7 linked regions of the Coturnix japonica genome follow. The protein of the gene in region 4 binds, or shares a complex with, the protein of the main gene of each other region. Links are inferred from orthologs where the notes say so. Each region holds a gene or a part of one and is shown on either strand. Other genes may lie near its edges.

Region 1 (3,500 bases), on a different chromosome or scaffold from region 4:
ATTCTGAATGATGCGGGGAACTGTGTGTTTGTATACCCAGGGATGGCACTTTCAGTCTAAAATCCTGTACCTCTAAATGGAAAGATTTTCACTTCTTTATTTGCCACCTGTTGAAGGTGGGCTTTCTGGTTCTGACTTCTGCTGCAGTCTCAGAACTGTGTATCAGTCACTTAGAGTATTGAGATCTCTAGAAATGCTTTCTCTGTGGGTGTAGGTGTGGTATCTGCTGCTGCTCTTAGTGTTACGGAGGAACTCTGATAGCACTGTCTGTCTTTGCTCTCCTTTCAGCTGATCCTGGGAAGGAGAATGAGAAGGTGGAGTTTTTTAACCTGGTGCTGCTGTTCTGTGAGCTAATCCGACATGATGTCTTCTCTCACAATATCTACATGTGCACACTCATCTCCCGGGGTGATCTTGCCATGGATTCTCATGGACCTCGTCCTCCCTCACCCTTTGATGACCCTGCTGAGGAGCATGACAGGAAGGAGACAGAAGGAAACAGTGGGATCAAGCTAGAGGTGAGAATACAAGATACGCAGCTCTTTTATGTGCTTCCTCTTGTTCTGCTTCTCCACTCATACCAGCTTTGCAGACTCCTTGCTATTACTTGCTGGAAGATGGACCAGTGACTCATGTTTCTCATTTCCCCAAGCTATTTCCTTAGCACTTCAGTTGCAAAAGTAGAGGCTTGTGTTCTAAGTGGGTAGAAAGGTCTTGCAGAATGTAACAGGGTAGACAGGAAAATCTTACTCTGAGCAGCATATCAAGTGCTATGCAAGGCCAGTCTGTGTTGTCAGGTGTTTGCAGCATATGTGATTCTGGCTGAGTTTCGTTTGCCAGGCATCATCCTTGTTGGCAAACTGCTGTCACTGTCCAACATGGAAGTGGGGTGCTGCAGTAAATGAGTCTTGTCTTGTTTCCTGGTGTATTATTGAGATGTAAAGCTGCTCTGTCTGTTCTCAGGACACGGGTCTCTCTGAGCCTATGGACATTGACCACAATTCCAGCACGATCTTTGATGACATGGAGAAAACAGATTTTTCGGTATGTGCTTGCTGTTTTGCCTGCTACTCATAAGTAGATTATGTTGTGCTAGCACCAGGGACATGTGTGGGTTCTCCCTCTCTACTGTAGAGCTGATATGTTGGAAGTGTCTAACTTGTAAGGTAGCAGACACTGTGAAAAGTTCTTCTTGGCTTCTTTCACCTGTCTTAATTATGGCATGACCACGTTCCCTAACTGATTTGTTGTTCTTGCACCTTCCTAGATGTTTTCTCCTCCAATGCATTGTGAATCTAAAGCCAGCCCTTCCCCTGAGAAACCAGATCTTGAAAAGGAAGCAAAGCCTCTGCTGAAGGACAAGTCTGCAGAAGGAATGCTAGCATCTCTGTATGACCAGCCTCGACACATCCAGTATGCAACACACTTTCCTATTCCTCAGGTATGAGACCTGCTCGTAACCCTTTTCCTGCTGCTGCCTTGTGCTCTGATAACCAGGCTGCTGTGTTTCCCTGCAGCACTACTGTAAGCATGAACCTGACTGAACAGAGTTGAACCTGATCTCTTTCTGTTCTGTTACTGTGGGTGGGTGAGGAGTGCAGTCATGTTTTTCTGCATTGCTGCAGGAGAGTGATCTACTTAAGACACCTCTTTGCTTACTCCCAGAGCAGCTTCTGAGATGAAGCTTTCTCTTTGCTTTTATGAGATCCAGATGTGAAACAAGATTAAAGTATTCAGCTTGATAGTTGCTAATGCAGTTCTTTCTCTTGGTTCCCCAGGAGGAATCATGCAGTCATGAATGTAACCAACGGTTGGTAGTTCTTTTTGGGGTTGGAAAACAACGGGACGATGCTCGGCATACAATCAAGAAAATAACCAAAGACATCCTAAAAGTTTTAAACAGAAAGAGTACTGCAGAGACAGGTCAGTATTGCTTGAGCCAGTCTTTCCAGTTGACTGCCTCCTTTGTCTGGAGTCTCACAATGAAAGGATTTCATATGATCTGCAGTGCCTGGTTGGCTGTATCAGTCACTGACTGTCTGGGATGGTGCTCTGTTCTCAAATAATAATGAGCAGCGAATAAGATTTGTTTCCTCCTGCCTAGATGTGTTCCATTGAATCTACCTTCTTCGGTAGGTGCTTAAGTCATGTCAGTTTCAGAGTGAGACCCTGGCGAAAATCGTGGCATTTTCAAACTTTATTTTCTTAAGCTCTACCATTTAAATCTTTGCACAAAAGCAGCGGGAGCTTTGCCTGTGAATGTTAGGCAAATACCCTGATTCAGTGTAGTGTGTGCTGTTATGCTAAGCATGCTGGTTAGGGTGGCAGGTTTGGATAGTTGTGTCAATACTGCTAGGAAACCTCTAATTTCTATTGATTGAGAATCTGGCTTCAGGATTTTTTTTTTCTTTTTGTTGGCCTGATTCTTGAAAGCCAACTTGAAACATGGTGTGATTCTTCAAAGGTGGCATGCTCTAACAGGCTTCTGGGCTGAGCCATCTCCAGTCCAGAACAACTGTTCTCACCAGGGAGTCAGTGTTTCTTCTAAATGGGGGGGAATATATTTTCCCCCTTCACTCAGGATAAGCTAGATGTTAACTGTGCTGTCATTCTTTGGCTAGAAATTCTTCCCTTGACAGTTTATTGTTGTGAATTCATAATGGTCCTTATCAGCTTACAGGTGGAGGATCAGGTTCTTTGGCCATGCTGCTTGGCAGTGTCTGGTCTTGCTGAGGGCCTGGCATGTGCTGATGACTGTTTTCTATTCCTCTTCTGATGAGGAAGGTAGCCTGATACTATTTTCTAGTCCTCTCAATTTTTGTAGGTGGAGAGGAAGGCCAGAAGAGGAAAAAGAGCAAGCCAGAAGCATTCCCAACAGCTGAAGATATCTTTGCAAAGTTCCAGCACCTTTCTCACTTTGATCAGCACCAAGTCACATCTCAGGTATGAAACCTTCAAGACTGCTGTCCTCTTTGGGCCCTGACTGAATCTCTTTGTGTTACTGAGGACAGCTTCCTGCAGGGAAGAGGTGTTGGGGCTGCTGAGGGGCTTCTGCAAGGGGAGATAGCACAATGTGTCACCTTACACTTGCAGGTATCCCGCAATGTCTTGGAACAGATCACCAGCTTTGCCTTGGGCATGTCCTACCACCTGCCTCTGGTACAGCATGTGCAGTTCATCTTTGACTTGATGGAGTATTCACTCAATATCAGTGGTCTTATCGACTTTGCCATCCAGGTAAGCACAGTGCTGAAGTGTTCCCTGGGGAATCAGTTCATCAGCCTGAAAGGCAGGAGATACGTGCTGTGATAGCTGGGCTTCTGTTAGGGTTCTCTGACCTGTGTTGTGGAGGTGGTCAGAACTGATAGTCATTGCAGTTCTCCTGGGCTGCAGCTGTTAGGAATGGGTTGTTTGCAGCAGATAGTCTTATGTGCCCTGTTGGAATGATTATTCTTCCAAAGGTTTTCAGGGTTGTTTCCAAAGGATTTACATTGCACCTC
Region 2 (3,500 bases), on a different chromosome or scaffold from region 4:
CAAACGGTGAGAACAAGTTGGTGCATTGATCTTGCAGCAACAGTATTAACTCATCAGGCAGTTTCTCCGGTTCTTTCAGTCCTGCACTGCCATGTTCAACAGAAGTAGCTCTGAGAGCTTCGAAGCGTTTTTCTGCTTCTTTGCCACACTCTGTGTTACGTCCTAAAATATCCAATTCATCTTCAAGAAACAGTCCAGAACTGTTGCCAAACTTCCTATTCATCACAGCACTGAAACCACAGGTACACCGATACTGGGCCTCTTGTGTTGGATCGGGAATGTAAACTCCAACATCAGCACCTTTGATGTTCATATTGCAAACGCATATGCAGCAGCTGTCAAAGTTACAGTCTTTGAAGAGATTCATTACAGACTCTGAGAGGATGAGATTCACGTACAGACTGTGTGCCTCTGGAATGGAAGGCACAGTTGCAGGTTCAACAGAATTAAGTGGTCTACACGTCGATGGCGTGGAAGCTGGTGAGTATAAATCAGAGTTCTCATATTTGACTGAACCCTGCGCACTTGCCGGTCCACCAGCTCCACGAGGAGTCCGAGGAGTCCTTGGTGTTCTGGGAGTTGGGAAACGAGGGGTAGAAGGAGAAGGGAGAATTCCAGCTCCACCATTACTGGGTGGTGCACTACCCGGGGGCATTCCAAACGGAGTATGAGTTTGTGGTGTGTATGCAGGGCCATACTCTTGATCCATAGTGCTTCCGTCACTGATAGGAGCCACAAGAAGAAAGAAATACTTTAAATTTCAAAGCCAAGAAGTCAAGTCAGTCTCAGATTGCTAAACAAGGACCTCCCTAATTAATATTTGCTTTTTTGAAGTAGTCTTTCACAATCTACAAAAAGATTTTCATTCCCTAAGGAGCTTCTAGAGTGTTTGTTCTAAATGACTTTGCAGAATTCCCATTGTCAGTGCTGTTAAAGAATCCTTCCCCTCCTCCCTTTCTTGCCTTTTTCTTTCCACAAAGCTTCCAGGAAACAAGTGTAGACAGTAAGAACTACGAGTTCTATGGATATACAGAGCCTAAAGGGCACCTCTTCCCTTTCATGTTTTATTTATACGCCGTGTTGACACACAACACTAAGAAAATATACTGGGTGTACCAACAGCAGATTCAGTTCGATCCATGGGGAAAACATCACCTGGAAGTGTTTAAATTCTTTTTCCCCCCTAAGTAGTTGAATAACTCCAAAGACCCGCAAGACCGATGAGACTTGGGAACGTACTGCTTATGAATAGCCTTAATAGAAGGAGCAATTACACATAAATCAGAATTCACACACTTTTTTTCCCAATAAACACACAGCCTCCTTGTTGCCTAATCTCTCTATAGAAGTTAATACTGTAGAAGAGAAGGAGGAATAAGTATTTTCTTCAAGTGCTGCCAACAAAACCATCACAACCAAATGCAGATTATAAGAATGCCTACTGCAGTGCTAGTGTTAGCAGGCAATGTCGTACTGAGTATAGCTTTCAACCAGAGGAAATGTTGTTCTGGCCAAATACAGCTGAGATTATGGCCATTTAAGAAAATAACTTAAGAAACAGAAGAATAACCTATGAAGCCTTTGCAGTACCTACAAAACCACAGCAAAAAAAAAGAAGTCCCAAGTTTACATGCATCTTGATCATTACTTATTTAAACACTGGACTTCCACCAGTAAGCTTCCTCAAAAAGCCTTTAAATGAGACAACAAATAAGATGTACACACAGTTAAGAAGCTATTGGGAAGATCATCTCTTGCTGTAAGGTTTACGTGTAAAGTTTTTTTCAATCTCCTGTCAGTTGTCTGAACAAACTGCCTTGATAAATTTCTTGTTACATGCTTACAAAAGAATAAAACGGAGGAGTACTTTCTATGTTGTCAGTAACTCAAAGTCTCACAAAGATTAAAGATAATTCATACCCATCTTTGATAAATGGCATGGCAGGTCCTGGAGGAAGCAAATCCAGCTTCCCCACAGTCCAGCTCTGGCGATATATGCACTCTTCTGGCAGTTTGATGGGAGGGAGACACTGGCTGGGAAGAGTCTTCAGTGGTGCAAACATGGAACATCCCACTAAGGCTTGGCAGTTCTCAGGTTTATAAACATAGGAATAATCCTAGAAATTACATACGGTAAAGCATCAGCATGTGAATTAGATGATATCAGCAATTAAAACACTTCCTAAAAAGAAGGACTGAATAAAAGTTGAGATTTTCACATTTAACATTTGCACTCAGAAACAATATGGCGATATAAAAGAAGCCATGAATTCAAGTTACCAATATGCATCACTTAAATTTCCTGATGGGTAACTTGAGATTATGCTGTCTTGAAGTTTAAAATAGTTAAATAGTACATGTAGTTTTCTAGATGCATCTTACCTACCCCCTCAGTAGGACACAAATTACAGACTGCACATAATTTCCCACAGTTCTTACTCAGGATTAATTAATAGACTGGGCAGTACCCATAAGAAACATATCAGGGCTATCAACACTACCTACCTTTATTTCAGCAGGTTTGGGGCTGCAGAAACCCTCATCTACTTCAATCCTGAACTGAGCTCCCATACTGGAGCTATTCCCTTCAAGTACTGTTCCTCCAAGTGTAGTGTCCATACTGCCATATTCCTTATTATTCATGTTCATTGGAGAAAATCCCATGATGTGTTGTTCCAAAGAAGGTGGAGTTGGATACATTTTATGGAGATCTGCAGTGCCTAATTTCAGATTAGAAGTAGGCTTTAGAATGCGACAACATTTAGAGTTATTTCCTTTGTCTTAATATTTCAGTAGGGCAAAGGAAGCATATGCTTCCAAATTCCCACAGCATATTAGCAATTAAATGTTTAAAGCTAGTATTCTAATTAGAGAAGAAAATAAAGCTTACTTATGCATGACAGCGGATCTAAATTTCCTGCTTTTGCCTCTTTGCAGTTGGATTTGTCATCAGCACCATTCACTGTTCTTTTAGATCCAGGCTATGAAAAAAAGTATTGCAATAAAATCACTACAGGGACAAACACATTCATTTTTGCCTCTAACAACAGATTTCACATGTAATGGACACCCAAAACTGGGACTATAAGCAAAATAAAATAAGCCAGAAGCCTAACACTGGTACGTGGGGTTACACTTGTCTTTCCTTCACACTTGTATCTCAGAATGCTCCGCCATAAAATCACAGTGCTATTAACTCTCAGCCTGTTAGCAGACATTAAAAAACCAACTAAGTAAGGCTACCTACAATCTCATAGATAAAACATACAAGCTCCCAAAACCATGCTAATATTACTGATTTTACCACATGAATAGGAATAGAATAGAGAAACAATTGCTAGAACAAGAGGTACGGGGAAGAAGCAGCATTGAAATTAAAACAAGAGATATTTTACAATGTTTAGACAGCACTATAACCTACAGAAAATAAGAGTCTCCATGCTGAAAAGCAAATACACTTGCTTTATGCTTAATATAGTAATGACCTTTGATGGCTGTTA
Region 3 (3,520 bases), on a different chromosome or scaffold from region 4:
CCTTGGGTTGTGTCTGAAGCTGTATGCCGCTTCATACACATACACTACAGTGTATGTAAAGCACTTAGCAGAAAGCAGCTTGACTGTGTTACCGAGGTTGCTGAAGTGAAAGCTGGAATATCCACATAAGCTGTTGATGTGTGAAACGTCTCACCCTGCACTCGCATATCAGAAGCATGTTAGACAATATAGAGTGCTTCCAAAGTTGTACTTCAGCTTCTGTGTTCATTTGTACAGAAATAACAACATTAGGGGAGAGTGTGTGGGGAGAATGGAGACCCAGGGCTGAGGAGTGCTGGAGATACAGCAACATTCGTGCTGTTAAAGCATGACAGCGACTGACAGCAATTGGTGTGTTTTAGTAAAAGGCAGCGTGGTTGTACGTTTCCATAATGATCTTGAGAAATGAAGACTACTTCATGTTTGCCCAAAATACTGGCTTGTATTGAGTGAAAAAGAATTGCAAAGAAAATACAAAATTAATGCAAATAGCTGACGGGTATTTTTGAAGATATATTTTTAATAAAACATACAAAGAGCACAAAAACACAGAAATAGTGGGATGCCTGACCTTGCTTTTGTGAAACTAATGCATCGTGCTGGGCTGATGGAAGTGGCTGTAAGCAGGAAGGAGCCTCTCTGTGCAGCCTGCTCCACGTCACCCCCAAATGAAGCAGTAATTCCTCACTTTGAGATGGACCTTCCTGTGTCCCAACACTGGGCAACAACAGTCAAAGCCTGGCCCCATCCACCTGACTCTCTACAGGCACATTCGGGGGCACTGGGCTCAACTTTCTGAGCCAACATATTGGCTGTGAAGGGTCTTAATTCTGTTTCTTCCCCCCAGGTTATAATTGCAGACCCAGAGCTTCCTGTTCTACACTAACAACAAAGCTGCTTCCAATAACAAACAGCTCCCAGTCTGGATTTGCTAGGAGGGAATCTTTCAGGTCTTTCAAATCTAAAACTAAGCAATTCCTGCAACTACTCCTTTCAGACATCAGGGACCGACTATCCAATGAATAATGCACTAAACAGACTTTTATTCTCTTCCATCTCTGGGAATTACATACATTCTGCTCTTATGCATATATGTAACCTGCATAACCAAATACCAAATGCTGGCTGAGCATCAAACAAAAACAAAACCAATACATCAAAGCCTTTTACCCCTTGCTCCCCAACAACATAAAGTCAATATCTCTATTTATAAGTGTTGCACCTTAATACTGCTTACTGCTCCAGCACAGAGAGGAAGCAGTGGAGCCCTGAACAAAAGTTCTGTGTGCATAGGACTCCAACCAGTCCCTGCACTCACTTCTGGCTACAGCAATGCTATGATAGTCAAGCCAGTTTTCATCACATTAACCTCTTAGGGTCAATTTTTTCCAGGTGTACTAAAGGCTTCAGCTGCTCTGCAAAGTTCCTCATATCATCAGAAACCATATCCTGTCCGGCTGGTGCCACAACATTAAGCTCTACAAGGTAGGAGAGGGAAAGCGGCTCGATGCTGTCCGTGTTACCAGGCATCAAGATACGGAAGATCTTATACACCACAATCTTCATGATCCCCTTTCGGAACACGTGTCCCTTAGCCACGAACTCGTGATCCATACGGAACCCCATCTCCACCAGGAAATCCGTCAGGTTGTCCGAGGTGGCGATGTCCACACAATTTCGCACTAAAGCGTGTCGGTTTTTATCTCCGATCTCCGGCTGCCCCAGGTACCTCAGGTGCCATGGCATGCCGCTTTTATCCATGGATCGCCGGGCACGCAGCACGAAGGGGCTGGCCTGCTGCCCCTTGAGCAGGAACACCATCTCGTGGTCCAGGAAGGTCTCCGGCTCCATGTTGTCGCACAGCCCACGCAGGCGGTGCAGCAGGCTCTCCAGGCTCTGGTCCAGGACGCTCCCTGTGGTGGACACACACGGCTCAGACGATGGCCCCTTCCCCGCCGCAGCGCGGGGCCGAGGCAGGCGGCGAAGGGGCCTCCGCGGGGAGGTACCTCCCCTTCGCCGCCCGCCTCGGCCCCACGCTGCGGCCGAGCCCCGTGTACAGCCCCTGTGTGCCGGCCATACCTTGCAGCAGGTACTCCATCATGTTAATAGTGCCGCCCGTAACGGGCATCATGGTGACGGGAGGCGCCTCCATCTTGGCGGCTGTGGTAAAGATGGCGGCGGGAAGAAAGGCAAGGCCTGAAGGAGGAGGCGGGCGCCACAGTGCGGCCTGGCGGTGAGGAGCAGCCGAACATCGACCAGCTCCCTTTCCTCCTCACAGACATCCAGTTATTCATCCCCAAGCACACAGCACTGCCCCTTAAAGGCAGATGTAAAGAAGGCATCGAGGAACTCAGCCTTCTCCTCCTCAGAGAATCCCAGCCTTCTCCTCAGTGATCACGTTCCCCGCTGCATCAAGTAAAGGTTGGGCATTTTCCTTGGTTCTCCTCTTACTTTGATGTACTTGTAAAGGGATTTTTTTAATGTAACGGCTTCTGCAATACCAGGTGAGAAGTGCTGGTATCACAGACCCACTTCAGTCTTTAATACTGCACTGTATGCTGGACAGTTTTCCTTAACCTTTTGTTTGCTAGGTTATTTCACTGCATCATGAGGTAATCTGAAAGTATCACAATTAAGCCAGTAAATCTAGGATTATTTTACTCAAACTGAAAAAGAAGTTCTGTACCAAAATGTACACGACTTAGTCATAATACAAAATGTTAATTCTACAGCCAGTTAAATCCATCATAATGAACGTTGAGCCACTGTTTATTGTCAGTACAGCGTTACTTTAAATAAGCTCACTGAGTGAACACAGAAATAAAGTAGATCTTCCTCAAATAAAGTGACAGCTATTAACAATACTCCAGGAAGATGTGCATCCATGGTATTTGCATGCTGTCGTAGCATATCTAGCATGTAGTACGTCTTCATGCTTGCACAGCAGCTTTGTGAGCTCATTACAATAATGTTGATTTGGTGATGCACTACAAGACAACCCATATGACTTACATTGAAGCTGAATTTTAAAGAGCACCTCTGCTAGACACCCGTTTAAAAGCTCCACCACATTCCTGTAGCGAACACATCTAGGCCAAACCACTGATCTGCCACCACCTCTGCCCCCTAAGAAGATCATCAAGCACATGAACAGTTCTCCTCCCATGATCAGCTGGACAGGGTGATGCTGACAGCAACCTTCCAGAAGGTGAATCAAACCAGAACACGCCTGTGTTTTCTATATTACATTAAGAACACCTGAGACTGCTTCACTGGTCCAAGTACAGAATTTTAATACAAAATCTGTTGCATTAACATGACATTTCACTGAATTCCCTTAATTAGTACATTCCATTAAAAAAAAAAAATCTTAAAATAAATATTCCCCCTCAAAAAAGTTTAAAAGGAATTAAAGCAAAAAATAAAATAAAACAAAAAACAAAACAACCCCAACCCTGTAGTATTACAGAACAGTGTGATTTTCTGACTTCATTTATCTCAGTGTAAGCAGTAGATTCAC
Region 4 (2,408 bases):
GGAATTTCAGAATGATTCTAGTAACTCTAATACAAGTGTATTTATTAGAGGAACTTGAATACAAGTGTATTTATTAGGGGAAGGTCTACTGCGTACATGTATAACTACAGCTACGAAGAAGAAAGAGATTTTAATTACTGCAGAACTTCTGTAGTAAAAGTGCTGAAATTTTCTTTAACAATGTGCTTGTCAAGTGCACTGTGGAAGATACTGGTTTGTGTTTCTTCAAAAGGCTGAAGACCTGTTAACACTCCAAGGTATACGGAACATGTGGCTGGAAAGTGAATTCACTATGACGCTTGTTCTGAATCTCTGATCAGTCATTGCATTTGAAGCATATTTTGATGTTTGACAGAATGACTTTCCTAATTTTTTCTGTATGAAAAACCATCCAATATTCAGAAATAATCAAACGATGCAGTCTCTTAAATACAGGAACTTTTCTTCCTTCTTCCAGGTGCCATTTCATCTGAAGAAATAATTAAATACGCCCACAGGATCAGTGCTAGTAATGCTGTTTGTGCCCCTCTGACGTGGGTACCAGGTAAATATCGTGCTTATGACTATTCTTGTTCTTGAATAATAGAGCACAATCAGTATCTGGTTTTAGAATGTTTTTACACAATGAAGGACAGTTTGATTTATTAAAGATATGTATATTTTTATAGCTGTTACATCTAGGGTTTCTGAAGAAATTTAATGATCCATACTGCACATGATGTTATGATGTGGAATTTTGACAGCAACGTTACAAAACCATGACAACTTGTCATAGAATGACTTGGGTTGCAAGGGACCTTAAAGACCATCCAGTTTCAAACCCTCCACTAGACAAGGTTGCCCAGAGCTCCCATCCAACGCAACTGTCAGTATTTCCAAGGATGGGGCTTCCCCAGCCTCCATGGGCAACCTGTTCCAGTGCTTCACCACCTTCATATTGAAGAATGGCTTGCTTATATCTAATGTAAATCTACTTTTAGATCTAATTTGGTTTATATCTAATCCCAGTCTATCACTACATGCCCTTGTAAAAAGGTGCTCTGTCCATCTTTTTTTATCAGCCTTCTTTAAGTATTGAATGATTGCAGTGAGGTCTCCCCAAAGCCTCAACCTCAACTATCTCAGTCCCTCTTCATAGGAGAGATGCTTCAGCCTTCTGGTAATCTTCATGGCACTTCTCTACACCAGCTCCAACAGCTCCATGTCTTAATGCTGAGGGCCCTAGAGCTGAACATAGTACTTAAGTTGGAGTCTCATAAGAGTAGAGAATAGAGGGAGAACCATCTCCTTCAGTCTTCTGGCCACGTTGCTGCTGCTGCAGCTCAGTATACAATTGGCTTTCTGGGCTGCAACTGTGTGCTGGCAGCTCATGCCCAATTTTTCATCCATGAGTCCCTCTTGACAGGAGTACATTTAGTGCGTTCATCCCATAATTATTTAGCTGTCAAGTAACAGAGAGAGCAAAGATATTCTGAAGTTACTGTAATGTAATTTTTGTGACAAGTTAGAATGAGCAAGAAAAGTCTCCAGTTTTAATAGAATAGGGGTGATGCTCATTCTTGATCCAGACAGGAAACCAGACACAGAAGAGAAAGATGATAATATTTTCTAATTAATATCTAATTATTATCACTGTCGTTATTAATAGGGGATCCACGCAGGCCATATCCTACAGATCTAGAAATGAGGAGTGGTCTCTTGGGTCAGATGAACAACCCATCCACCAATGGGGTTAATGGACACTTACCAGGGGATGCACTTGCAGCGGGCAGATTGCCAGGTAAGAAAAGTTCAATTTTTTATTTAATTATTCTTATTCCTCATATAGTCAGAGTAATTACAAATGTGTCTCTGCAATGGGAAATCAGAGTAAAAATGGAAATTATGGCCAGTGTTGTTCCTTAGCAGTGAAGGACTAATCGGTAAAGGTAACAGAAATTAAATATTTTTTGTTGCATTCTAAACGATACTGCAAACACTAGAACAGAGTAAATATGAGGAAAGCTCACTTAACTACCCTGTTCCACATGGGTGGTTTTTGTTCTATTCTGGCTCTGATTATCTTTAATTCTTGTTATAAGTGAGACAAAGCTGGTCTCTTTCATGGGATAGCCTTCAGGGCAATGAGAGGAGTTGAAGCACAGCTGTAGAATGGCTTATGTTGGAAAGGACCTTCAAGATCATCTAGTTCCAACCCCCTGCTATAGGCAGGGACACCTCCCTCTAGACCAGGCTGCTCACAGCCTGGCCTTGAATGCTTCTAGGAAGGGGGCATCCACAGCCTCTGTGGGCAGCTGTTCCAGTGTCTCACCACTCTCACAGTAAAGAATGTATCCATAATATCTAGTCTCAGTCTACCCTCTTCCAGTTTAAAGCAATTTCCCTTCATCTTATCACTCCATGCCCTT
Region 5 (4,270 bases), on a different chromosome or scaffold from region 4:
TATCTGAGGTGTGCGGGGAAAAGTGGCGAGGCCAGACTCTTTTCAGCAGTGTGTGGAGGCAGGAAATGGACAGAAACTGGAGCATAGGAAGTTCTGCATGAATGTGAGCAAGAACTTCCTTACAGTGAGGGTGAGGGAGCACTGGGACAGGCTGCACAGGGGGGTGGTGGAGTCTCCTTCTCTGAAGATATTCAAGGTTCACCTGGACGCTGAGCTGAGTGACCTGCTGTAGGGAACCTGCTTTGGCAGGGGTTGGACTCGATGTTCTCTGGAGGTCCCTTCCAACCCCTACGATGCTGTGATTCCGTGATTTCATAGCCGAGTTCCACACGTCGGGTATCTCCCAGGTCCCTTTACACCAGTCCCACCACATCGGTGTGCGAAGCTCCTCCGGACACTTGGAGGCCCTACGAGCCGGGCCAAGCTCTCGCTGTGAGCGGGACCCTGCGGGGCAGTCCGTGCGTTCCCGCTCTCGGATCCAGTTCGCGGACTTGGCAGGTGCTGCGAGACACCGCCGGCTGGAAGGGGCGGCACAGCGACCGCACAGCGGCCGCCCCGAGGCCGCCCCCCGCCCGCAGCGCGCTCCTCCCGCCCGGAGCCCTCAGGGCGGCGCCCAGCAACTTTCCCCCGCCCGGGGTCGATGGCCCCGCTCCGCTGCCGGCCGCAGCTCCCAGCTCCCGGCACAGCGCCCCCAGCGCAGCGCCCCCAGCGGCGCGGAGGATCTTTGCGGCGGAGGAGGGAGGGGCCGGGGGGAGCCCCAGCGCCGTGCCCCCGCCCTCCGCCGCGAGTCACGTGGGGAGGCGCCGACCAATGGCGAAGCGAGCTGCGGCTGGCGGCCGCCATTGCTGTCAGAGTGGAGAGAGGCAGAGGCGAGTGTGTGAGGAGGAGCGGGTGAGCGGGGCCGCCGTGCGGGCAGCGCCAGGCGGAGGGGGGCGAGGACGGGCACGGACAGCGCTCCCACTCCGGGCCCGGGCCGCCGCCCGCCTCCCGCAGCACCGGGAGACCCGCACGGAGCGTAAACAAGGCGGCGGCGGCGGCAGCAGGAGGAGGAGGAGGAAAACACCATCCACCCACCGCCAGCGGCGGCAGCAGCGAGGGGCGGCCGGGCGGGGCGGGGAGGGACACGGGCTCCGCACAGCGCCCCCCGCCCGCCGTCGCCGCCACTGCCCGCCGCCCTCCCCCGCCCCGCAGGGGCCGCCGCCGGACCGCGGGAGGAGCCCCGAGCCCCGCCGCGGCCGGGGGGGCCGGCGCTGGACGCGGAAGAAGGGCCCCGGGCCCCCCCACCCCTCTCCTCCTCCTCCTCCTCCTCCTCTACCTCCTCCGCGGTGCTGAGGCGGCCTGGAGGCCCGCGGGAGGGCTGCCCGCCGCCGCCGCCGCCTGCTGAGCGGCCCCCGCCGGAGCGGGCCCCCGCCGGAGCGGGCCCCCGCCGGAGCCGCCTGAGCGCCGCCCCCCCGCCCGCCGGCACAGCAGCGCTCCCGGGGCAGCGGGCAGCGCCCGGCAGCGCCCGCAGCCTCCCCCCGCCGCCGGGCCCCGCTCCTCAGACATGCCCCGCGCTGGGGCTCGCCGAGGATCATGACTGCAGCGGCCAACTGGGTGGCGAACGGGGCCAGCCTGGAGGATTGCCACTCCAATCTCTTCTCGCTGGTGAGTGCCCGAGGAGGTGAGGGGTTGGGAAGTGGGGGTTGTGGGGAGGGCGGGCCGGCACGGCGGCTCGCACCGGGCGCTGCGGGTTTGGCGCCGGGTGCGGCTGCCGGGGGCTTTATAGCCCGGGCCGTGGGGCTGCTCCTCCGCTGGCCCCTCCCCCGGCGCGGCGCCCTCGGCCGTGTCTCTCCGTGTCTCTCCGTGTCTCCCCGTGTCTCCGCTCGGTGCCCCCGGGCCGGGGTTGCTCTATTGTCGCTGTGACAGCAGCATTAGGGCGGCAGCGGGCGGGCACGGGGCGCTGCGCGGGTCTCGGGCCGCTGTCAGATCCTGGTACGGCCCCGCCTGGCACAGTGCCTGCCCCGGGACACCATGGGTGCAGAAATAATCATTTATTCCATCCCTGGGGTGAAACAACCGAAGATGTTGTCTGCCGGGTAGCACTGATGCTGTATTTCTCCGTCGTTGGTAATGGACAACTTTGTACTTGGATTGATTGTTTGGTTTAATGGTGCAGGAATTATGTTATTGGCTGTTTCCACGCAGAAGCAGCGTCCCTTGGAAGCCGGTTTACCAGCAGGCTGTGCACCTGCTGCCCACAGCCCCTGTTTCTGGCTGGGCATGGCCGTGCTGGGGGGGCTGGCAGCCAGGTGGGGTTGGGGGCTTGATGTGTGTGTGGGAATGCACGGTGCGGGGTGGGGATGGAGGGGGGGGCGTTGGGCCCTTCCCCTCTGTGAGCGCTGGATGTGGCTGGTGGTGGTGGGGTCTCATTTCCAGCAGAAAGGAGGGGAGTGCTGTTGGTTGTCTTGCAAGAAGGAAGGGAAAGAAGAAAATGGACTGGAAATGTGAATGATGTTTTTGTTGAACGTTTTTCTTTTCATTGCTGTGTGTCATTGTTATGCCTCCGTCTGCTGGCTTCTCTGTTATTTTGTTGCTCTTATTTGTTACTTTGTTCATACCTATGGAGAATGTGGAGCAGGAGCCCTCAGCGCTCAGCTACTGGGAAAGGAGTCCCGGCCTCCTTCTGTGGGAATGAATGCAAGTCTAATTTTGGCTTTTTCATGAACTTGTTCCATCACCTGGCCTTGTGCATGGGCTTTCCCTTGGCGGTGCTCTCTGAGCCGTAACTGCATGTAGGAAGCAGTGCTGTGTGTGCAGAGCTGTGGGAGCTGTTGTGGGGACTTTGAATGTACTGCTCATACATGTGAAGGAAGAATGGTGAGCATGAGGGAGACGGCTGTATGGATGGACAGAGGAACGGAGTGCTCTCTGCTTTGTGTACGGAGCCGTGAGGTCCCCATTTATTCATGGAAAAGTGATTATTTTTGAGGTGTGTAACTTTACATACTTGCAAACTGCAGGTCTGCCTTTGGTTAATAGAAATAATGGTTGGCATGCAATTGGCATCCGTCATGATCTGAAGTTACTACATAGTGACTGCAGCGTGGTCTGTCTGCTTTGTGTTTCACCCTGCTGTGCTGGGGAAATGGGAGCTTTTCAAATAGGGCTGTGATCCCGTCAAAATGCAGGTGGGCTTCATAGTAATTATGATTTTAATTTGTGATCTCTTTGTTTCTCAGGTAATTTTGTGGGAGGCATCCATACCTGTAATGTGGTACTGTGCATCCAGCTGTAATGATTTTATTATTTTCAGGGTCTACTTGCAAACAGAAGAATATCCATTATGTATATACTTGTATGTATGTGTGTGTATGTATGTATACACACATATATGTATATATACATATACATATATATATACAAATGTGCTAACTATTGGTGTGATTTGTTTTCAGGTAAATTGATATTTGTTATGGTTTATGTATCAGTGAAGGATACTGAAGAAGGAAATAGGGACTGGGAGTGCGTGGCCAGCAGAACTGACCTTACAGCCTCAAATTGTCCTACTCATTTAAAAACTTATGAAGTGTTAAAGGTGCAGTAGTTGGGGTTACTAATGGGAGAAAGTTTTGCTCATCACTTACTCTTTCAGTGCAACAGAACAGAAACATGCACAAATGAATCAGCTGTTGATGGGAACTCATTCACTTTGTAGGAGTGAGGTGAATTACTGAGCTGTATGAAACCCATTCTGCCATTAGACACTGAGTATTACAGTTCATTGTAAATCTCCAGCTTCGTTTTGGGCCTGAGTCAAAAAGAAATGTTCTTGCCTGGAGAATTACAGTTCAGAAATAGTACTTCTGTTTGTTCGTGTTGAAGCAATGTTTTTCCCCACAAACATTCCCTTTGTCTAAGGAGGAACAGCAGCTCCTGTGTCGGAGGAGCTGGGCTGTGCTGTACGACTGAGGTTGGCTTTGGGGTGTTTGTCACCCCATCATTTCCAGCTTGTTTGTCTGTCAGCTGTAGATGGACTTTAGAGAGATGGTGGCACTGCTGTTTGTTTGAGTCTTCATGGGGAAATATTCCTGGAAGTATCTTACTGTCATGAAAAATATTTTCTAAAGCTTTCTAGTAACTGTTTACGTTTTGTCAGTGGTGCCCGGAATGTGTAGAGGCTCTTAGTTTAAAATATGCCACCTGAGGGGAAGGCATAGTCTTAAGGTTATAAAATGAGCTCTGATCGTGCACATATCAGAAGTGATGTCCGGCACCAGCAGTGGTGTTCAAG
Region 6 (4,127 bases), on a different chromosome or scaffold from region 4:
GCCAATGATGGAGGAGTACGCCTGGATGGTGACAAAGATCTCGGGCTGATAAATAATGTCTGAACCAGGGATTCGGAAGGGCCTTAACAATCCCACTAAGCATCGGGAAAGAGCATGAAACACTTCATCAAAAATGATCTCTCCTGTTGAGTCATCCTACAGAAACAGAAGAGGAGAATTATAGAATCATTATAGCTAAGATTACCTTGTCCAACCATCAACCCATTCCCACCACACCCACTAACTGCACCTCACATCTCCACAGCTTTTGAACACCTCCTCAGTCCTTCTGACCACACTAGTTCTGATACAAGCCAGGATGCCTTCTTGGAGACCTGGGCACACTGCTGGCCCATGTTCAGCCAGCTGTCAGCTAACACTCCTAGATCCTCTCCCTCCATAAAGCTCTCAGCCACAGCCCCTAAATCAGCAGCACTGCATGGGGTAAACAAAACAGCTTTTACATCTTCTGGAATCTGCAATCTCATTGCACCCACCACACAGAGACAAGTACAAGCCTATTTCTGCAACAGCAGCTGCCTCAGAACGACCCCTGCAAGCAGAGGTCACACATTCTGCAAGGAAACAGGATCCACTGCAAGGCTGTGTTGCCAGCAGCAGTGCCTGCTTCAGCCCTCAGGAACACAGGACCCCTGCAGGAGTGACCACTAATGCAGGGACACACATGTTCTCAGCAGAGGGAACCAAGCCTGGTCCTTTAACACAAAACACCCCAGAGAGGCAGCTCCTGGACTCACCACGATGCCAGTGGAAGGGCTCAGATCGAGCTCAATGACAAAGCGGTACTGGCGGGCCAGGAACGTAACGCGCGTGGAGGGCACCAAGAGGTAGGGCCGGGGCTGGACGGGCTCATCCGGCTGCCATCCGTTGGGCAGGATGCTGAGCACATCCAGCTCGTTTTCTGACTTCAACTACAACAAGAAGCGAACGACAAGCATGAAACATTACTCCAAGCCAAAGGACACGCCGAGATGCAGGGCCACCATCCACCCTGCAGCACCCCCGGCCCCCACTCACCAGCTCGGGCTCGGGCACAGCCCAGATGACCTGGTGCAGCCGGCTGAGCACCCAGGCGAGCCGCACGTTGCGGGAGATGCGATAGTCCTTCTTCATCAACAGGAAGACGTGCCCAGCCTCCTCCACCTGCAGCAGAAGCACAGCGCCTCGTCACTCCAGGCCGGGCACCACCACAACCCCCGACCTCTCTACACAGTTCCCGGTCTCAAAGCCGCAAACAACCCCGCCTCCCCTCGCCCCGCAGCGCGTTACCCCTCACCTCAGCCTCGGGCCTCTCGGCAGCCGCCATGTTTGCCCGGCGGCCCCGCCCCGCGCCCTCTGACCTGACTCGGAAGTGGAAGGCTGCCATAACAACAGGGCCGCGCAGCCATGCAGGTGAGGGGCTGTATGGGGTTGAGCAGGGCTGTATTGGGCTGGGCTGGGCTGGGCTGGGCTGGGCTGGGCTGGGCTAGGCTAGGCTAGGCTAGGCTAGGCTAGAGGGAGCAGTAGGCCCGTATGGGGTTCCGCTGTGCCCCGTGGGCCGGGCTTTGGAGGAGTAAAGCAGTGTGCCCAGTTGTTCGAGAAGGTCTATGGTATCTTGGCTCGTGGAGGCTCAGTGTATCCTATAGGAGCGGGGTGGTGGGCGTCCCTCTGTGCTGACATTGGTTGAGGCCGCATCTCGAGTGCTGCGTTCTGTTCTGGGCCCCTTAAGCAAGAAGGGCATTGAGACCTGAGCGTGTCCAGAGATTGCGACAGGGAAAGTGAGGGGTGGAGGCATTACAGAGAGCAGCTGGGGGAGCTGGGATGGTTCAGTCTGGATAAAAGGAGGCTCAGAGGGACCCCATGACTCCCTTAAACTCTCCAAATATTTACAATGGGGTGGAGGTCGGCCTCCTCTCCCAGGTAACAGTGACAGGATCCCTTGCTTTCCTAATAAATCCCATTATTACTTTGATTTCCTCGACTTCTTGAGCCTCAGGCTGATGTTTCCCTGGGTTACCCTCGGATAATCCTCAGATCTTGTTTGTGAGTGATAATGTTATCAGCTCAGAGAATGTCATTGTGTGTGTGTAAAGTCAGGGTTGTTTATTTCTCTTTGTTTCATTGTGTGTATTGCTTTATGTTTATTCTGAATTTCACCTTTACCTCCCAGTCATTCATTATCAGGAGTTCCTTCAGCAGTCTCTCCCGTAAATCCTATTTTATTACCCTGGGACAATTCAGTATTGTTAACAGACTCCTTGAATTGCTGCTTGTATATGTCTGTGAGAGGCAGAGTATTTCTTTGAATCATTGATCTTGGTGCACGTGTGCTTTGCGGTGCTTAAACTTACTTCCAGCTCTCATGGAGAGAGCACACAAAAGGAGGAGGCTCAGACTGCACTGTCACACAGTGTAGTGTGATTTCATTCACAATCTTTAGGGCTTCTTGGATACGCGCTGGCAATGGGCCACACCAGTTGTCTTGGTTGTGTGTACCTGCCACCTCTGCAGTGAGATACTGGCTCCCAGCCCAACTCGTAGTGCTGTCAGTGGTTCATCTTGCTCAAACACAACGTGCACAGTCAGCGTTAGACTTGTTTCTTAAGTGCACAGGAACAGACTAGTCCCATCACAGGATGGCGGAGAGCTGCAGTGCTGTAGCTGTGAGTTGTAACCCCGTGGTTTGCTCTGTTAATCCATGCTGTGGATTGGAAGTGGATTTTAGCCACATTTATTTTGCCATTTCTTCTAAGGTAGTGAAGTCTTATCAGCAGTCTATGGAAAAAAAAACAAAACCTTTATAGTCTTGTCAGACCGTGAGTAGAATAATTTCATGTTCTCTTAAATGTGGAAGATACTTGATGATCTCATGCTAGTTTCAGTTTGTTTAAACAGCACAAGGATCCCAATAGTGAGCGTGCAAGCAGACTGAGTCACCCCATCTGCTTTCCCAATCAGCATTCCCTTTCTATTATTTAACTGTATTGCTGTGTCTCACCCTCCTCGTGGATTATTGTTGTACAGTCCTTGACTTACATTAGCAGTCCATTAGGATTGGGGCTTTAATTACATTTTGTGCAATTCTGTTGAATGAGTAAGAATAGATAAGGTTCTAGAGGGTTTTCGCAAGAGTCGGAGATATTCTGTGCTATATGTGACAACAGGTCTCCTCTCCTATTGCTTTGTATGTCACCATACTCCTCTCAGCTAGGGGAGAAGATTATTTAAGCAGTGCACCAAGGCAAAAGGCAGCAGGTGATCTCTGCATGTGTCTAACTACGTCACTGACACTGCAGCGCCTTCCACAGCTGGTAAGGGACAAGGAATTTTTAGGAGCTGGATGCAGCACCTGGACAGGAAGAAAGTGAGAGATGAGGGTAAGGGCAGAAACTGGAGTCTTTGGGCCACTGATCTGATACTTGTTTTGCAAATGGCTGTGCTGGGTGAAGACATCACTGTGCCTGCTGTCAAAGGGTGCTGAGAATGCTAATCTGCTTTCAGCTGGGTTAGCATGAATAACTCACGGAGGTGGTGCAAGGTAACTTTGATGACTTTGCCTGATGCAAGTGATGTATAGGCTTTACTTATCTAGATCTTAAAAATGACAGCTAGCCATGGGTTGGCTCAGGTACGAGTCTCTTCCTAAATGTTTCTTACAAGGAGACAAGATAAGTGTGAAAATGTAGGATTTTTATCTACGTGGTCTCTGTTTCCTTGCCTTGAAGAGGAGTCTCTCCATAGGAGAGGGTGGAATATGGTTGCAGATGTATGGATCCCCACAGTCCTTGGAAAGGTACAAAGCTTTGTCCTCACCCCTATCTTTCATTCTTTTTTTCAGAGAGAGGAGAAGCAGCTGGAGCTGACCCTGGAGGCACTCATCAGCCAGGTGGCTGACCTGAAGAACTCATTGGTCAGTTTTATCTACAAGCTGGAGAATGAGTACGATCGACTCACATGGTAAGGCATCCCACAGAGACAGGGCACTGTCACTGATCGCTGCTGAAGCTCTTCTAGACTCTGCCCAAAAAGTGTAATTAAAAGCCACTAACTTGCTCTCCACAGGCTTACCTTCACTTTTCATGTTAACGTTGGTGAAACTACTGAGTATCTCCCACCCGAAAAACAGT
Region 7 (4,230 bases), on a different chromosome or scaffold from region 4:
AAGGTGCACTAGAACTGGAGTCTCCAGTATCTCTCCATTATTTTAGTCATTTAGTGCCTTACTCAAGTACCTGAAACAGTGAGCGCTGTACCTTTTCCATACACTGTAACTTAATACCTTCAGTAACTACAAGGCTAGAAAACAGGGAATCCAATAACAATATAAATACATACACGGAGCTGATTAAAATAACTTTTATAAATACTAGATTTCATTAAAACAAAAACTAATTAATTAAATAGCTCTTTCCAGAGCTCATTTGAAGTAAACAAAAAAAATTTCAATAACTGAGTTTAAACATTAATTAAAAAAATGAAAAAAAACGATTCTTTGTGTAGCTATCAACAGGGCAAAAATCACTCTCAGAATGTTCTTAATGGGCTGAAGTAGTTTTGTCCCGTGATGTTCAGTAATCTTGCTTTATGCAGATAGAAGGTGCAGATAAAGGTTGCAAATGGAAAATTCCATGCATATGTCAAGAATGAAACGTTCTTTAATTGTGCCTATCCCAGACTACAGGAAACAGGAAAATTTATACTGCATATAAACACAGTGCATGTTTTGGCTGCAGGGAGAAATCAAATATGCACATGCTACTTTACAGTGCATAAGAGAAGGTAAAAATCATTAAAATGCAGAAACCTGAGGGCTTTTAATACTTACTTCAAGTATTTTGCATATTCAGGTTCTTTCCAATACAGTAAATATTTAAGATAGTTTACAAAAGCTTTGTCTTTGAAGTATCCTCTTTGTGCAAGAACTGAAATAAGAGACAAGGAATTTTTTACAACTCAATAAAAAAAAAACACAAAGGGAAAAATATATCTTAAGTCAACACTCTAATACAAGTTAAGCATAGTGAGTTAGCATATAACTTTTATACAGCAACAAGGATGCGATGTCTTCAAAAATAGGAACTTCTGACATCAAAACTGTCAGGGAAAACCAAAGAAATTAAGAATTCCACCTGAAACTATTATAAGCATTAGTGAAATGTTGGTTTCAGATATGAGTACTTCTAAGATTGAAATGTAATTATTATTATTTATTTTCTACTACAGATGTGCACTTATTCTCCACCAGACAGTTGTGTTTTATTTCAAGAAATAATCATTTCACATTTTAAAGGTGTCATCTCCTCCCTCTTCTACCTCACCTTTGAAATTCGGACAAATTAAATTATCCTCAGACTACTTTTTTCCTTAAAGATCTCTTCCCTTTTCTTTGTTTACCCTTCGCCTCTGCACACACACACACACACACACACACACACACAGTTTACCATTACACGTAATCATTAAACTGTTAAATAACATTAACTTCTCAGGATCCCTGACATTAAGTACTCACAGTTGAGGTAATTGGGATTTGCTAGGCACTGAACAAACTCCAACTCCAACTGGAACCTAAGTCGATTTCCTGTATCATCTGAATACAAGAGAAAAAAAAAAAACAGTAAAAACTGGACTTACATGGCAGATTTAAAAGTAAGTTTCTCAACTTGAGCCACAAAAATAGAAACGTTTAGAGAGGAGATAAAGCACCAAGAGCCCACAAGTATGGGCTCATCTAGCAGTCTTTTCTATTACATGAATAAGTGTTGGGCCCATGTTAATACATGTACTATTGTTTGTTTGTTTTTTTAACAACTAAAAACGATGCAAATAATGGAGAAATGCTCTCTGACACTTTATGTAGAATATATGAAAAGGGAAGGGAAAGGGGCCTGCTTTTAGTGCAAGGAAAATATAAGAAGGCAAGAAAAGAACACTACCAGCAGCTCACTGAAAGCCTCCTTGCACATAATTTAAGAAATGCTTACCGTGAGGCTGCTTTTTGTTTTGTTTGTTTTGTACAGAGATGTCTCAGTTTAGTGAGAATCCTGCAGTGTTCTCACACTATTGGTGTACAGTAGGCACTGATGACAGACCCAGGGGTCAGCACAAGATTCTGCTGTCCTATGACAAAAGGGTGAGGGAGCTGGGCTTGCTCAGCCTGGAGAAGGCTCAGGGAGATCTCACTCTGGTCTTTCAGCGTGGAAAGGGAGCTTATAGAAAAATATGTTGACTTTCCACCCTGACTGAAAACAACAGAACAAGAAGGAACAGCTTTAAACTCAAACAATAGGAAACTCAGGTTAGATGTTAGGAAGAAATTCTTCTCCGAGGGGCGGTGAGGCCCCGGCACGGGCCGCCCCTCTCTGTGGGGGCCCCATCCCTGGAGCTGCACAAGGGAAGGCTGGAAGGGGCACCGCGCAGGCCGCTCTGGCGGGAGGTCCGATCTGTAAATAAAGTCCCCTCCATCCAAACACTCGGGGTCTATAAAAGATTCAGCTCCTCGACCACAGATGCAACGTGGGATGTCCGCTGCCATGGCGTCCGGGCAGGTAAGAGCCGCGGTGTCTCCATGAACGTCGCGAAGGGCCCCAACGGGGCCAACGGCCTGAGAAGGGCCAAGCCGGGAGGGCAGCGCAGCAGGACCGCCCCGGGCCCCTCCCGAGGAAAACGATTCGGAGCCTGTCGGCCCATCGCTCCCGAACCGCCCGAACTCTGCACGGCAGGACCACCGACGCTCTCCGTGGCCCGGAGTCGCTCGCCCTGCCCGAACCGCACCGCACCGCGCCGCTCACCTGCGTCCATGGCGGCGTGCTGGGCTCCGCTCCCCGCCCGGCCTCAAAATGGCGGCGGGAGCGCCCGCTGTCGGCAGGCGGGAGTTAGGCGGGAGGCGCAACGAGGCAAGATGGGAAGGTCTGTGGTGGTGAGGAGCTGCGTTAATGATGCGAGTTGTGTAGAAAATGACCTTTTGAAATAAACTAAAGTTGGAGCAACTTTTTTTCCCCTTGTCTTGAAAGAGAGCTGTTACCAGACAGGCAGTACGATTGGAAGGTACCTGTAGGAGCAATGTTCTGGGATGGATTTTTTCCTAGGCATGTGTGTGCTTTTCTTTCTTCCCTTTCCCCTTTTCCTTTTTCCCTTTTCCCTTTCCCTTTTTCCCTTTTCCCCTTTCCCGTTCCCTTTCCCCTTTCCCCCTGGCAGCTCATGCTGAGCTGATCTCACACAACCTCTGCAGTTTATTTATTAAGAAGTTATGTCGTAGTGAAACCAGTTAAACAGATGCGCCAGGGGTGCAGAACAGCACTATGCTATTGCACCTGGAGAAGAGTTCAGCACTTAGGTTGCAGATTTATTCCTAATGCTGCATTCATGTCTGGGGTCACACACTGGATGTTCATATCTTGGTTAAAACAAAGACTGGTGGGGTTTAGCACTGTCAAGCTACCTGAGTTCCATTGCTGCTATGATTGCATTATTAGGCACTTGTGTAACAGTTTGCACTATACAGGCTCAACACGAATCCTAATTCTTTTTTAAAATTTGTGATTTGTTAAACTATTTTCAGTGTCTCAGCATTTTCCTGTAGTGCTATCTCTTTCTATGTAGTGTAACTGTTCCCCTCCAGCCCCAATAGAAATTAGGCTATAAGACCACCTAAAAAAAGACTTCTGCATTGCTTTCCTTAATAAAATAATTTTGTGTTTTGTTTCTTTTTTCCCCAAGGTTTTAGTGGTTGTGGAGTACTACCATTACTATAACAGAATTAGCAGGTCACTCCCCAGTAAATACAGACTTTTGTCTAAAAGCAGAGATCAAACATATCCCACGCATTGGCAGTGCTATTCTGGAACACGATGTATCTCCCAAGACTGACTTCAGAGGAGAGAATCCTAAGAAAGGCTTGGTCACATGAATTAAATTACTACGTAGGTTTGCCAGAGTAAAGTGCAAGAACGCAATTCTTGGCCATCAAAACTAGGAACAAAATTGAAAGTTGGAGTCATATTACAAAAACTAAGAACATTCTCTAGGAAAAGCTGGATTTATTTATGCTTTTAAATATTAGCTTAGTCAGACTTTCAGGGAAGAGGTATTAAGCTGTGTGTTTGAGCCAAGAATTTTCCTTTTTATCATCATCAAATCATAACATCACTGCCTCAGTTTCACTTTTTATAGGAGCTGAACTGCTAACCCTATTCTCTGTTTGAGCACTGGTGCTGAACCCTTGTTTTCCTAATGCATTTTGAGAGCATGCTCATAGTAGATCTAGATATAAAACAGCCACTAGCTAACAAACAGATCAGATAAGGTTTTCTACCCAAAGCAAATAAAGCTATTCAGAGTTTAAAATTACACTCCAAAAAGGGACACTTTGCTGCAGTAGTAATTCTAGACA

The links.
Region 1: MED4 (region 4) and MED12 share a complex: the UniProt entries of both Homo sapiens proteins name them as parts of the mediator complex. The link is inferred for Coturnix japonica from reciprocal best matches to the Homo sapiens genes MED4 and MED12.
Region 2: MED4 (region 4) and MED13 share a complex: the UniProt entries of both Homo sapiens proteins name them as parts of the mediator complex. The link is inferred for Coturnix japonica from reciprocal best matches to the Homo sapiens genes MED4 and MED13.
Region 3: MED4 (region 4) and MED18 share a complex: the UniProt entries of both Homo sapiens proteins name them as parts of the mediator complex. The link is inferred for Coturnix japonica from reciprocal best matches to the Homo sapiens genes MED4 and MED18.
Region 5: MED4 (region 4) and MED13L share a complex: the UniProt entries of both Homo sapiens proteins name them as parts of the mediator complex. The link is inferred for Coturnix japonica from reciprocal best matches to the Homo sapiens genes MED4 and MED13L.
Region 6: MED4 (region 4) and MED8 share a complex: the UniProt entries of both Homo sapiens proteins name them as parts of the mediator complex. The link is inferred for Coturnix japonica from reciprocal best matches to the Homo sapiens genes MED4 and MED8.
Region 7: the proteins of MED4 (region 4) and MED31 are in contact, whole or in part, in a cryo-EM structure (PDB 8TRH), measured with the Homo sapiens proteins. The link is inferred for Coturnix japonica from reciprocal best matches to the Homo sapiens genes MED4 and MED31. Residues at the interface, in NP_054885.1 of Homo sapiens: Glu147, Tyr151, Arg154, Ile155, Asn159, Ala160, Val161, Cys162, Ala163, Pro164, Trp167, Arg173, Arg174, Pro175, Tyr176, Pro177, Met182, Leu186; in NP_057144.1 of Homo sapiens: Gln19, Glu23, Gln26, Cys27, Ala29, Asn30, Pro31, Ala64, Lys65, Tyr66, Leu67, Lys68, Tyr69, Pro70, Gln71, Asp98, Ile102, Trp105, Gln106, Tyr108, Ser109.

What each region holds. Positions count from the first base shown.
Region 1 is NC_029519.1:2,315,195-2,318,694, reverse strand, and holds part of MED12 (mediator of RNA polymerase II transcription subunit 12), read left to right. Parts: intron 1-288; coding exon 289-518; intron 519-963; coding exon 964-1,044; intron 1,045-1,267; coding exon 1,268-1,441; intron 1,442-1,778; coding exon 1,779-1,923; intron 1,924-2,824; coding exon 2,825-2,943; intron 2,944-3,093; coding exon 3,094-3,237; intron 3,238-3,500. UniProt on the Homo sapiens protein: Component of the Mediator complex, a coactivator involved in the regulated transcription of nearly all RNA polymerase II-dependent genes.
Region 2 is NC_029534.1:6,204,635-6,208,134, reverse strand, and holds part of MED13 (mediator of RNA polymerase II transcription subunit 13), read right to left. Parts: intron 2,982-3,500; coding exon 2,891-2,981; intron 2,721-2,890; coding exon 2,506-2,720; intron 2,118-2,505; coding exon 1,921-2,117; intron 723-1,920; coding exon 1-722. UniProt on the Homo sapiens protein: Component of the Mediator complex, a coactivator involved in the regulated transcription of nearly all RNA polymerase II-dependent genes.
Region 3 is NC_029547.1:21,930,463-21,933,982, forward strand, and holds MED18 (mediator of RNA polymerase II transcription subunit 18), read right to left. Parts: upstream 2,266-3,520; 5' UTR 2,153-2,265; coding exon 2,080-2,152; intron 1,914-2,079; coding exon 1,360-1,913; 3' UTR 501-1,359; downstream 1-500. UniProt on the Homo sapiens protein: Component of the Mediator complex, a coactivator involved in the regulated transcription of nearly all RNA polymerase II-dependent genes.
Region 4 is NC_029516.1:150,967,448-150,969,855, reverse strand, and holds part of MED4 (mediator of RNA polymerase II transcription subunit 4), read left to right. Parts: intron 1-457; coding exon 458-544; intron 545-1,648; coding exon 1,649-1,780; intron 1,781-2,408. UniProt on the Homo sapiens protein: Component of the Mediator complex, a coactivator involved in the regulated transcription of nearly all RNA polymerase II-dependent genes.
Region 5 is NC_029530.1:10,336,921-10,341,190, forward strand, and holds the start of MED13L (mediator of RNA polymerase II transcription subunit 13-like), read left to right. Parts: upstream 1-1,470; 5' UTR 1,471-1,572; coding exon 1,573-1,644; intron 1,645-4,270. UniProt on the Homo sapiens protein: Component of the Mediator complex, a coactivator involved in the regulated transcription of nearly all RNA polymerase II-dependent genes.
Region 6 is NC_029523.1:17,388,685-17,392,811, reverse strand, and holds the start of MED8 (mediator of RNA polymerase II transcription subunit 8), read left to right. Parts: upstream 1-1,327; 5' UTR 1,328-1,407; coding exon 1,408-1,413; intron 1,414-3,353; exon of another isoform or gene 3,354-3,371; coding exon of another isoform or gene 3,372-3,377; intron 3,378-3,838; coding exon 3,839-3,957; intron 3,958-4,127. Other genes in the region: KICSTOR complex protein SZT2, read right to left, coding at 1-156, 759-932, 1,039-1,164, 1,298-1,327. UniProt on the Homo sapiens protein: Component of the Mediator complex, a coactivator involved in the regulated transcription of nearly all RNA polymerase II-dependent genes.
Region 7 is NC_029534.1:8,576,362-8,580,591, reverse strand, and holds the start of MED31 (mediator of RNA polymerase II transcription subunit 31), read right to left. Parts: upstream 2,801-4,230; 5' UTR 2,640-2,800; coding exon 2,630-2,639; intron 1,429-2,629; coding exon 1,351-1,428; intron 761-1,350; coding exon 664-760; intron 1-663. UniProt on the Homo sapiens protein: Component of the Mediator complex, a coactivator involved in the regulated transcription of nearly all RNA polymerase II-dependent genes.